Arabidopsis thaliana: one gene and its partner. The protein of the gene in region 2 interacts with the protein of the main gene of each other region in a pairwise test. Each region holds a gene or a part of one and is shown on either strand. Other genes may lie near its edges. The genes, in order: RPT2 and GMD1.

Region 1 (3,930 bases), on a different chromosome or scaffold from region 2:
CGAAAGCAGAGATGATTCTTCTGACACTATCGAGATCTAGTAACCGTTCGCCGTCGTAGGTGAAAGACGGGATCAAAAGATCGTCGACGGAGACGTGTTCTAGAACGACTGAGATTCGCTTCTCGAGCTCGTTCTTGCAGGTCAAGGAAGTGTCTAAGAAGACCGCGCAACGGAGGAGAGAACAGAGGAAATTGACTGGGAACAGCCCTTTGTCTGAAGGTAAAAGAGAGACGATAGATTGAACAAGATCTCTCTGTTGGGATCTTTCGTCGGATTCGTTATCTCCGGGATCGGAATATTTGACTCCTCTGCCTGAATGGTCTCTGACGAGATCTCTTAAGGATTTCTCTGTGTAGGTGATGATTGCAGAGGCTAAGGAAGAAGGTTTGACACCTCTCTGCTTCATTGAAGATACGACATCGGAGAAGAAGTCGACGTCTAAGATACAGAGTTCCTCTGTCCACCAATTTGGTGGTGTTCGACATGGAAACATTGCCTCGTTGCAAGCCTTTCAAATATCAAAAGAAATAGATATAAAAAACGTATCAGATACTGTAACCAAGCATTACAAAAATTCATGGATGTTAAAATATTAAACTCGTAATTCATTTTGCATTACATAGATATTATACTTGAGTCTCACGGAACTGGAATAGGGTAGAAGTATGATTTGCTCAATTTAAGATTCGGAAACCAAACCGAATTAAATATGAAATATTCCTATCGAATCTAAATCGCAATCATAGTCTGACAACAGTAATCATAGATCTAAACTTTAATATTAAAATAGATTTTTGTTTTTAATAATAAACACTAGAACAAAAGAAGTGAAGAACAATGGTCTCAAACTGATTTTTCTTAGGAAAATTGATAGATGAAATTTTAAAATCAATTTCAAACTATTACTGTATTTGAAACCTATGGAATAACTAAACCAGATATTCTTGCCATTTATTGAAAAACATACCTAAAACTGTACTAACTTACTAGATTGGGTTATTGCAGTTACTACTACATAGGTAGAAAAGAAAAACATAAACACTAGCCAAAATGGAGATCCAACACTTACAAAGAAGTGAGAATGAGTTCTGAGTAAAATAATACCTTAGCACCGACGACGTCGACACAACGGCGGACAATACCAAGATCACGAGAAATAGGAAGGAGAATCTCGCAAGACTTGAGGACAACGATAGCTCCAGAGAGGCTAGAGAGAGCTACTTGAGAAAGGAAGTCTTGTGTCCGACCAGCAAGGTTGTTGTCGCAGTACTTATCGGTCATCTGAAGAAACTCGGCTGCGCAATGAAGAGCCGCCACGTTCTGAACGGTGATCTCGAAGTTAACACCGTAACAGAACTTGGCAGCTTTCTCAAATATCTCAGGACCTCCGGGTATATCCGAGAGATTGATTCTTGTCACGTCGCTATCTTTGGATTCCATTATTAGCTTCCTTATGTAGTTACTCTTAGCCACTAACATGAACTATATATATACAATCATGAAAAATTATAGTTAAAATTTTGTGTAATTAAAAACATGTAAGCTAATGGTTTGTACTAATCTCGCCATCCTATTATTACTCTATTCAAGCCTAGTTCATGAGTATATGAAAAATAAATAATCCTTTTTTGTATTGAAAAATGTTGTGAACCAAGAATTAAGAGTTGTTGCTTACCTTATGAAGAGAGAAATTGGCTTCTCCGACTTCAACAACAACATCGGTCGGAATATCTTGAGAAAAAACCCTACAAAGTTACATATATACATGTTAAAATTTCTGATGATTCGCGCCGGGAGACTCTATTGGTGAAACTAGACTGATTCGTACCATTGACCGGTTCTTGCAAGACTTGAAGACATAGAGTTCATGTTGATGGGGTTTTTTCCTTCTGTTGCCATTTTTTTTGGTTCTCTATTGAAGGAGATGGAAGCATAATTGGAGAGTGTCTATATATTGAAATTTCTTTAGCATGGGTCCCCCCAATCCACCCAATTGCTAATGTAATAATATTTGTGATTGGCTTCTTCTATCTTATTTTTCTAAGTTTTTATTTGTCGTTTTCTGATGTGTTTATTATCTCTTTTAGTTAACTCACTCTAATCCTTGTGTTTGTCTTCGTCGTTTACTTTCCTTTTCACCATTTCCTTTTAACTTTTCCCTATTTGGATATGTACTTGTATCGACGGCTATTTTATGTAATTTAGACCTTCCACATATATACCGATATATGTTTCACCAACTTTTTGATAATAGACTAACAGAGATCTCGATCTTGGTGATTTGTAGATAACATTAATAAACATATCTCTGTAAGTAACATGCTTTACTACGCTTTTATTTAGTAAATGTATTTATTTATCATTAAAATTAAAATTAAAAGAAAAGTGAACGTTTACTAATTGATATTTGGCTAACTACATTCAAATTATCAACTATTATTTTAGTAAATGTTACAGTGATATTCAAGGTTAAAAGACTACAAAAAACATGCAGGATAACAATGATTATAGTAATATGACGAACATGAAAATCTTTCTTATCATAAAGCTGCTATGTGTAAGCAATCTCATCGTACAAGGACATAGAAGCCGGGACAAAGTGTGAGTGTGTGACAGACCAGAAGTACAGAACGGATCTAAATTCTTGATTTCATAACATGCATATGGTGATGATTAGAAAATTTTATAAAGTATAATGATTAGTGAGAACCAATCATCATTCATATATTTGGTTGTTGGCAACAATTTGTAGAGTGGCTCATTCAAAAAGAAAAAAACAATCTTACTTTTTGGTTTGGTTAATGAGAATATGATAGCAAAATTAAAGTTTCACATGCTAAAAGCCTAAAAATTCTGAATTAAAGGAAGACAATGCTATGAATATAGAAAAAAAAGCAACGCATGTGAATAATTGACAGATAAGAAACGAAATTAAAAGTGGATGTACGATTAGAGAGAAGTAGGACCATGGAAGTTAGGGAAGTAGGAACATGTCATAGATAAGGCCCACCCCAAATATGTGGTCGTGCTTCATCTTAGAACCTCGTGGTGTTTGGCTTAGCTACGTCGTCAAATCATCCATCAGAATCCAGTTTCAGTTTTGTCTTCCAATCATGTTTATACACGTGTTCCTATCGTCTTTAAAGATATCTCACGTCTCTTACATTGCCTAGTTGCCCTAATAATTTTCTGCCGGTGCGACTAGTTTTATAAGACTATTTGTAGTTTGAATGTGAAGATTCACAAAATGGGTCTTCATAAAAAGTTAAAAACCCTTACCAGTTTTCGTGATTTTTCTATTTTGATGTAAGTTTCTGTGAATCGATGTGATAATATGTCATGTGAGTCTTTTTTCTCCGGCTGACATAGTAACATGTGATTTGATAAGAAAATTATTTTAGTATCGTGATAAATTTTGTGAGGTGTTTAACTTTTTGTTTAAATCTTAATGCAAAAACTTCCAAACCCTAGATTTCTTTTTTGTAATTGGTTTTGCATCAAAACACAATATCCGAATGTAAAATATTGAATTAGCTAAACAGTAGATGTCCACTAGATCATGAGTAGGCGATATACATATAAATTTCATTAATTCAGAGAGAATAATAATTAAATTTTGTAAAAAGGTGCTAAGGCAAGGTCTTAATACAAGTCTAAATTATTCAGATGAAAAATTCATGTTAGGAAATAGGTTGGACCATAAGAGGATGGTGCTATCAATCTATTAACAAAAGTACAAATACCCTGAGCTGTATTGCCGTCTAGTTTCAATCAACAATTTCGATCATAATGGTTAATTACATCCAGAGGATTGACATATAGGATTGTGGTTTATTTTGGTTTGATTCGGTAAGTAGAACCAAAATGCTATTTTCTGATTAAGGATATGCAATTTCTACACACCTGAATTCAAAAAAGGCATTGGAGCTA
Region 2 (3,930 bases):
CCACAGTGGCGCCTTTTTCTCTTGCATCTCCCGATTCGGTCAGTATAAATACTACTACAACTCTGTCTTCTAAACCCGAGGCATAAGAGTAAATACTCTTAATGGTAGTTAGATTGGTGAATCGAATACGTGTAGTTCTACAGCATACTTTCTGATCTCCTCTGATTTTGCATAGATGCATGATGATGCTATTGATTGATCTTTTTGTTACAAATCATTGTTTTCTTTTGTCATTTCATCTTTAGGCTTTTCGATTTGTACAATCGCTTGTGACCAGTAAGAAACCATTGTTCTGATAAGGGGAAAATTCATATGTAATAAATATGCTTTGTTTGCCTTTTGATACAAAATCCACAATGGACGATTGGCAGTGTATGGAGTTGAACAACTTGAAACAACGAAAGAGAACAACAACAAATGAAACAAAATTACATTTCAATGAAAAAGCAGATAATGATTACTCTTCTTTGCCACCTCCCCATATCAAGGTTGCTGCTGAGCGTCCATGTAACCAGCGTCGGCGAGCACTTTCTCCCTCTTGGCCAGCTCAAGGTCTTCGTCCACCATCATCTTCACCAGCTTCTCGAACCCTACTTTTGGCTTCCACCCCAACATTTCCTTTGCCTTGCTTGCGTCTCCTTTCAGATTGTCGACCTCCGTGGGCCGGAAGTACCTTTTGTCGATCTCGACATGGTCTTTCCAGTTGAGCCCCACGTACCCGAAAGACACGTCCAGAAACTCCTTGACGGTGTGTGATTCCTCAGTTGCAACCACATAGTCATCTGGTTTCTCCTGCTGCAGCATCAGCCACATTGCTTCCACGTAGTCTCCTGCGAAACCCCAGTCTCTTGAAGCCTGTATATTTCCCAGGAAGAGCTTGGTCTGCAATCCGACCTTGATCCTTCCCAAGGCCCGAGTGATTTTCCGAGTCACGAAGTTCTCGCCTCTGCGAGGTGACTCGTGGTTGAAGAGGATTCCGTTGCAGGCGTACAGACCGTAGGCCTCTCGGTAATTGACTGTGTACCAATGAGCAGCGCATTTGGACGCAGCGTAGGGAGATCTCGGATGGAAGGGCGTGGTCTCTGACTGCGGAGGAGGAGTTGACCCGAACATCTCCGAAGAGCCAGCCTGGTAGTACTTGATGGCGCGGCCATTGTCAATGTTGTGAGATCTGACAGCCTCCAGGAGACGAAGAGCTCCAGTAGCGACAACGTCAGCAGTGTAATCAGGGATCTCGAAGGAGACGGCAACGTGGGACTGAGCAGCAAGGTTGTAGACCTCGTCAGGCTTGATGACGTCGAGCCAACGGCGGAGGGAGGAGGCATCAGAGAGATCACCGTAGTGGAGCTTCATGAGAGCTTTGTTGACGTTGTGGGGATCAACGTAGATATGGTTGAGTCGCTGAGTGTTAAAATTGGAGGATCGTCGGATGAGGCCGTGAACTTCGTAGCCTTTCTCGAGCAGGAACTCGGTCAGGTAAGATCCATCTTGGCCAGTGATTCCGGTGACCAGTGCAATCTTCCTCGGCTTCACAATGTCGGAATCGCCATTGAGAGATCTGGAGGCCATTGATGGGTGGGTGCAGAGTCAGATCGGATCAGAAGAAATGATTGGGCACGTCGCGCTTTCTGTTTTTGATTTTAGCGTCAACTGATTCGATGACTTATATATAATAAAGCCCAAGGACGAAGAAGACAGAGAGAGAGGGTTACTTCTGTAAACTTTAAAGGTGAATCTGTATGGCTACGTAAAGTTGTACTTGTATGGCAAATCGCCGGCAAGCGTTGACCGATTACGAATATTTTACTATCTATTGGGCCAAGATGGGCTTTAAATTACTGCTAATTTTATTGGGCTTATATATATATATAGCTCTACGGGTTGCGTTCAGACTAAACATCATTGTGGACTTTAGTAATTTGCCTTAAGTTAACCCATTTAGTTATATTATACTCGGCCTTATAATAACCATTGATTTTTTTTTTTCCCCACACGATCTCAACTTGCATGTCCTATTTATTAGATTCAAAATTCAAAAATGAAAGCGTAAAAATAAAAAACACGTAACGTTAAAAGGAGTAATTGTGAATATTAAAAGAATATGAGTGGTGGAAATTAAATCGGTGAAAGTAATAAAAAAAACGATTAGGAATGGGAGCCAATCAGCGCCTCTCTATTTGATAGTATTTATTTTTCTCCACTGGGAAAGTCAAAAAGTCATAAAAAGTGTGGTTAGGGTTTTCTCTCTCTCTGTTCTATCTCTCCCACAGAACACAAAACGTATCGCCGACGCCTCTCTTCTTATTCATATCTGTCTTTCTCATTGTCGAGTTTGGTCTAACATCTGATTTCTCGTTTCGTATAGAATCTGAGAAAGTGGTTAGTGAATAGACTTTAGAAAGAGTTTGCGATTGAATTTTTGTAAGAGAAATAGTAATGATGAAGAAAACGAAGAAAGGGAGAGTATCGTGGGCATCAGATAGTATGCTTTGTCAGGTATAGCCAACCCGTCGTCTTCTTCGTCGACCCAATCTTGTTCCTTATTCTTCTCTTACCTGCAAATTTGTAATTGTTCGGTTCGGACTTACCAGTTATCAAAGTTGGAATCGGACAGTTAACAAACGAATTGATTTTGATTGATTGCTTTTGATTAATTATTCTTAATTTTAAATTTACACAAAGATAAAACCTTTTCCATAAGTCACCGTCAAAGCAACAAACTTTAATAAGATGACGTTTTTTTTTTTTTTTTTTCTGGTAATGGCGAATCTAATTAATTAATTTTGTGTGCCTGAATGTTGATGACTTGATGTTATGAAATCTTCTTTACATAGTAGGGACATAAACAGCAAGAAATCCCAAAAAAAAAGAAGAACAATGTACCAATGTGGTCACTAATTTTAGAAAGATTGTGTTCCTCCTGAAATAGTGAAACATGTAGGACTCCCCTTATATATATAACTCATGTAAAAAAAAGGACTTTGTGGCTGCTGAGTACACACGCATTTGGTTACTAACTAAGTAAAGGATTTGGACAGGTAAAGTTGTTTCTTAGTGATGATTGTCCCGTTAAAGTTGCATCGAATCTTCCACCTGGTTTTGAAGCTACTGATTATGCAACGAAGCGAATCATCTCACACATTCCTCGGATCAAATGGAAACGCCCACCATTGGTATAATTCTTTTCTTGAATTGCAAACAATGTGACCCTTCTTGTTTTTATATAACTCTCACTGTCTTTCTTTATTCGCCGCCAAAATAGTTTGTCCTCGATGATGCTTTGCTTGTTGGGAGTGGTGGAAAAAGCATCGAGACTCGTTCTGAGAATCTTAGGATTTCTAAAGTCTTGGAAGCTTTCTATCCACATCGCTCTGTGATCCCTTCTCGGTAATTTTATCATTTGAGGATTTGCTTTTGTGCCATGTCATGTTTTTCCACTTATCAAATTCTCTCTGTTTTCTTCTAGTCCTTCGCTCACACTAGCTGTTGAAGAAGAACACTATGACGACGGCAAAACTCCTAATATCCCTCTCACTCACGTTGAAGATGAACGTGACGCTGCTGCTGAATCTTCCCACAGTTTCGAAGCTCCTGCAGCTGTTTCTGGACTTGGACCAGAGTTAAGTCTTCTTGCTTCTGCAGCTTTGTCTGCCTTAACTAAGGAACAGGGCTCTCAGGTCGATCCTGATTTACTTGTCAAGTTACTCAGTGACCCCAAAATCGTTGAGAACTTGATCAATGGCATGAAAGGTAAACCACTTGAAACTGCAAATAACAGTCTAAACACTGACATCACCGAACCTAGACTTGCTCCTCAACATGTCACCTCCACAACCATGGACAGAAACCCACCTCCCATGCCTGGAAATGTTGCGCCACATAATGTACCTGTTTCGGTTCAGTCCAGTGCTACAGATCCTCCACTCCCCA

The links.
Region 1: the proteins of GMD1 (region 2) and RPT2 interact in a two-hybrid assay, tested with the Arabidopsis thaliana proteins (one large-scale study listed by BioGRID).

The regions. Positions count from the first base shown.
Region 1 is NC_003071.7:13,003,675-13,007,604, forward strand, and holds the start of RPT2 (Phototropic-responsive NPH3 family protein), read right to left. Parts: upstream 2,073-3,930; 5' UTR 1,900-2,072; coding exon 1,829-1,899; exon of another isoform or gene 1,746-1,828; coding exon 1,676-1,745; exon of another isoform or gene 1,483-1,675; coding exon 1,105-1,482; intron 509-1,104; coding exon 1-508. UniProt on the Arabidopsis thaliana protein: May act as a substrate-specific adapter of an E3 ubiquitin-protein ligase complex (CUL3-RBX1-BTB) which mediates the ubiquitination and subsequent proteasomal degradation of target proteins.
Region 2 is NC_003076.8:26,474,073-26,478,002, reverse strand, and holds GMD1 (GDP-D-mannose 4,6-dehydratase 1), read right to left. Parts: upstream 1,838-3,930; 5' UTR 1,570-1,837; coding exon 484-1,569; coding exon of another isoform or gene 372-483; 3' UTR 249-371; downstream 1-248. Other genes in the region: AT5G66290 (uncharacterized protein), read left to right, coding at 1-38, 372-707; AT5G66270 (Zinc finger C-x8-C-x5-C-x3-H type family protein), read left to right, coding at 2,437-2,496, 3,039-3,173, 3,263-3,387, 3,467-3,930. UniProt on the Arabidopsis thaliana protein: Catalyzes the conversion of GDP-D-mannose to GDP-4-dehydro-6-deoxy-D-mannose.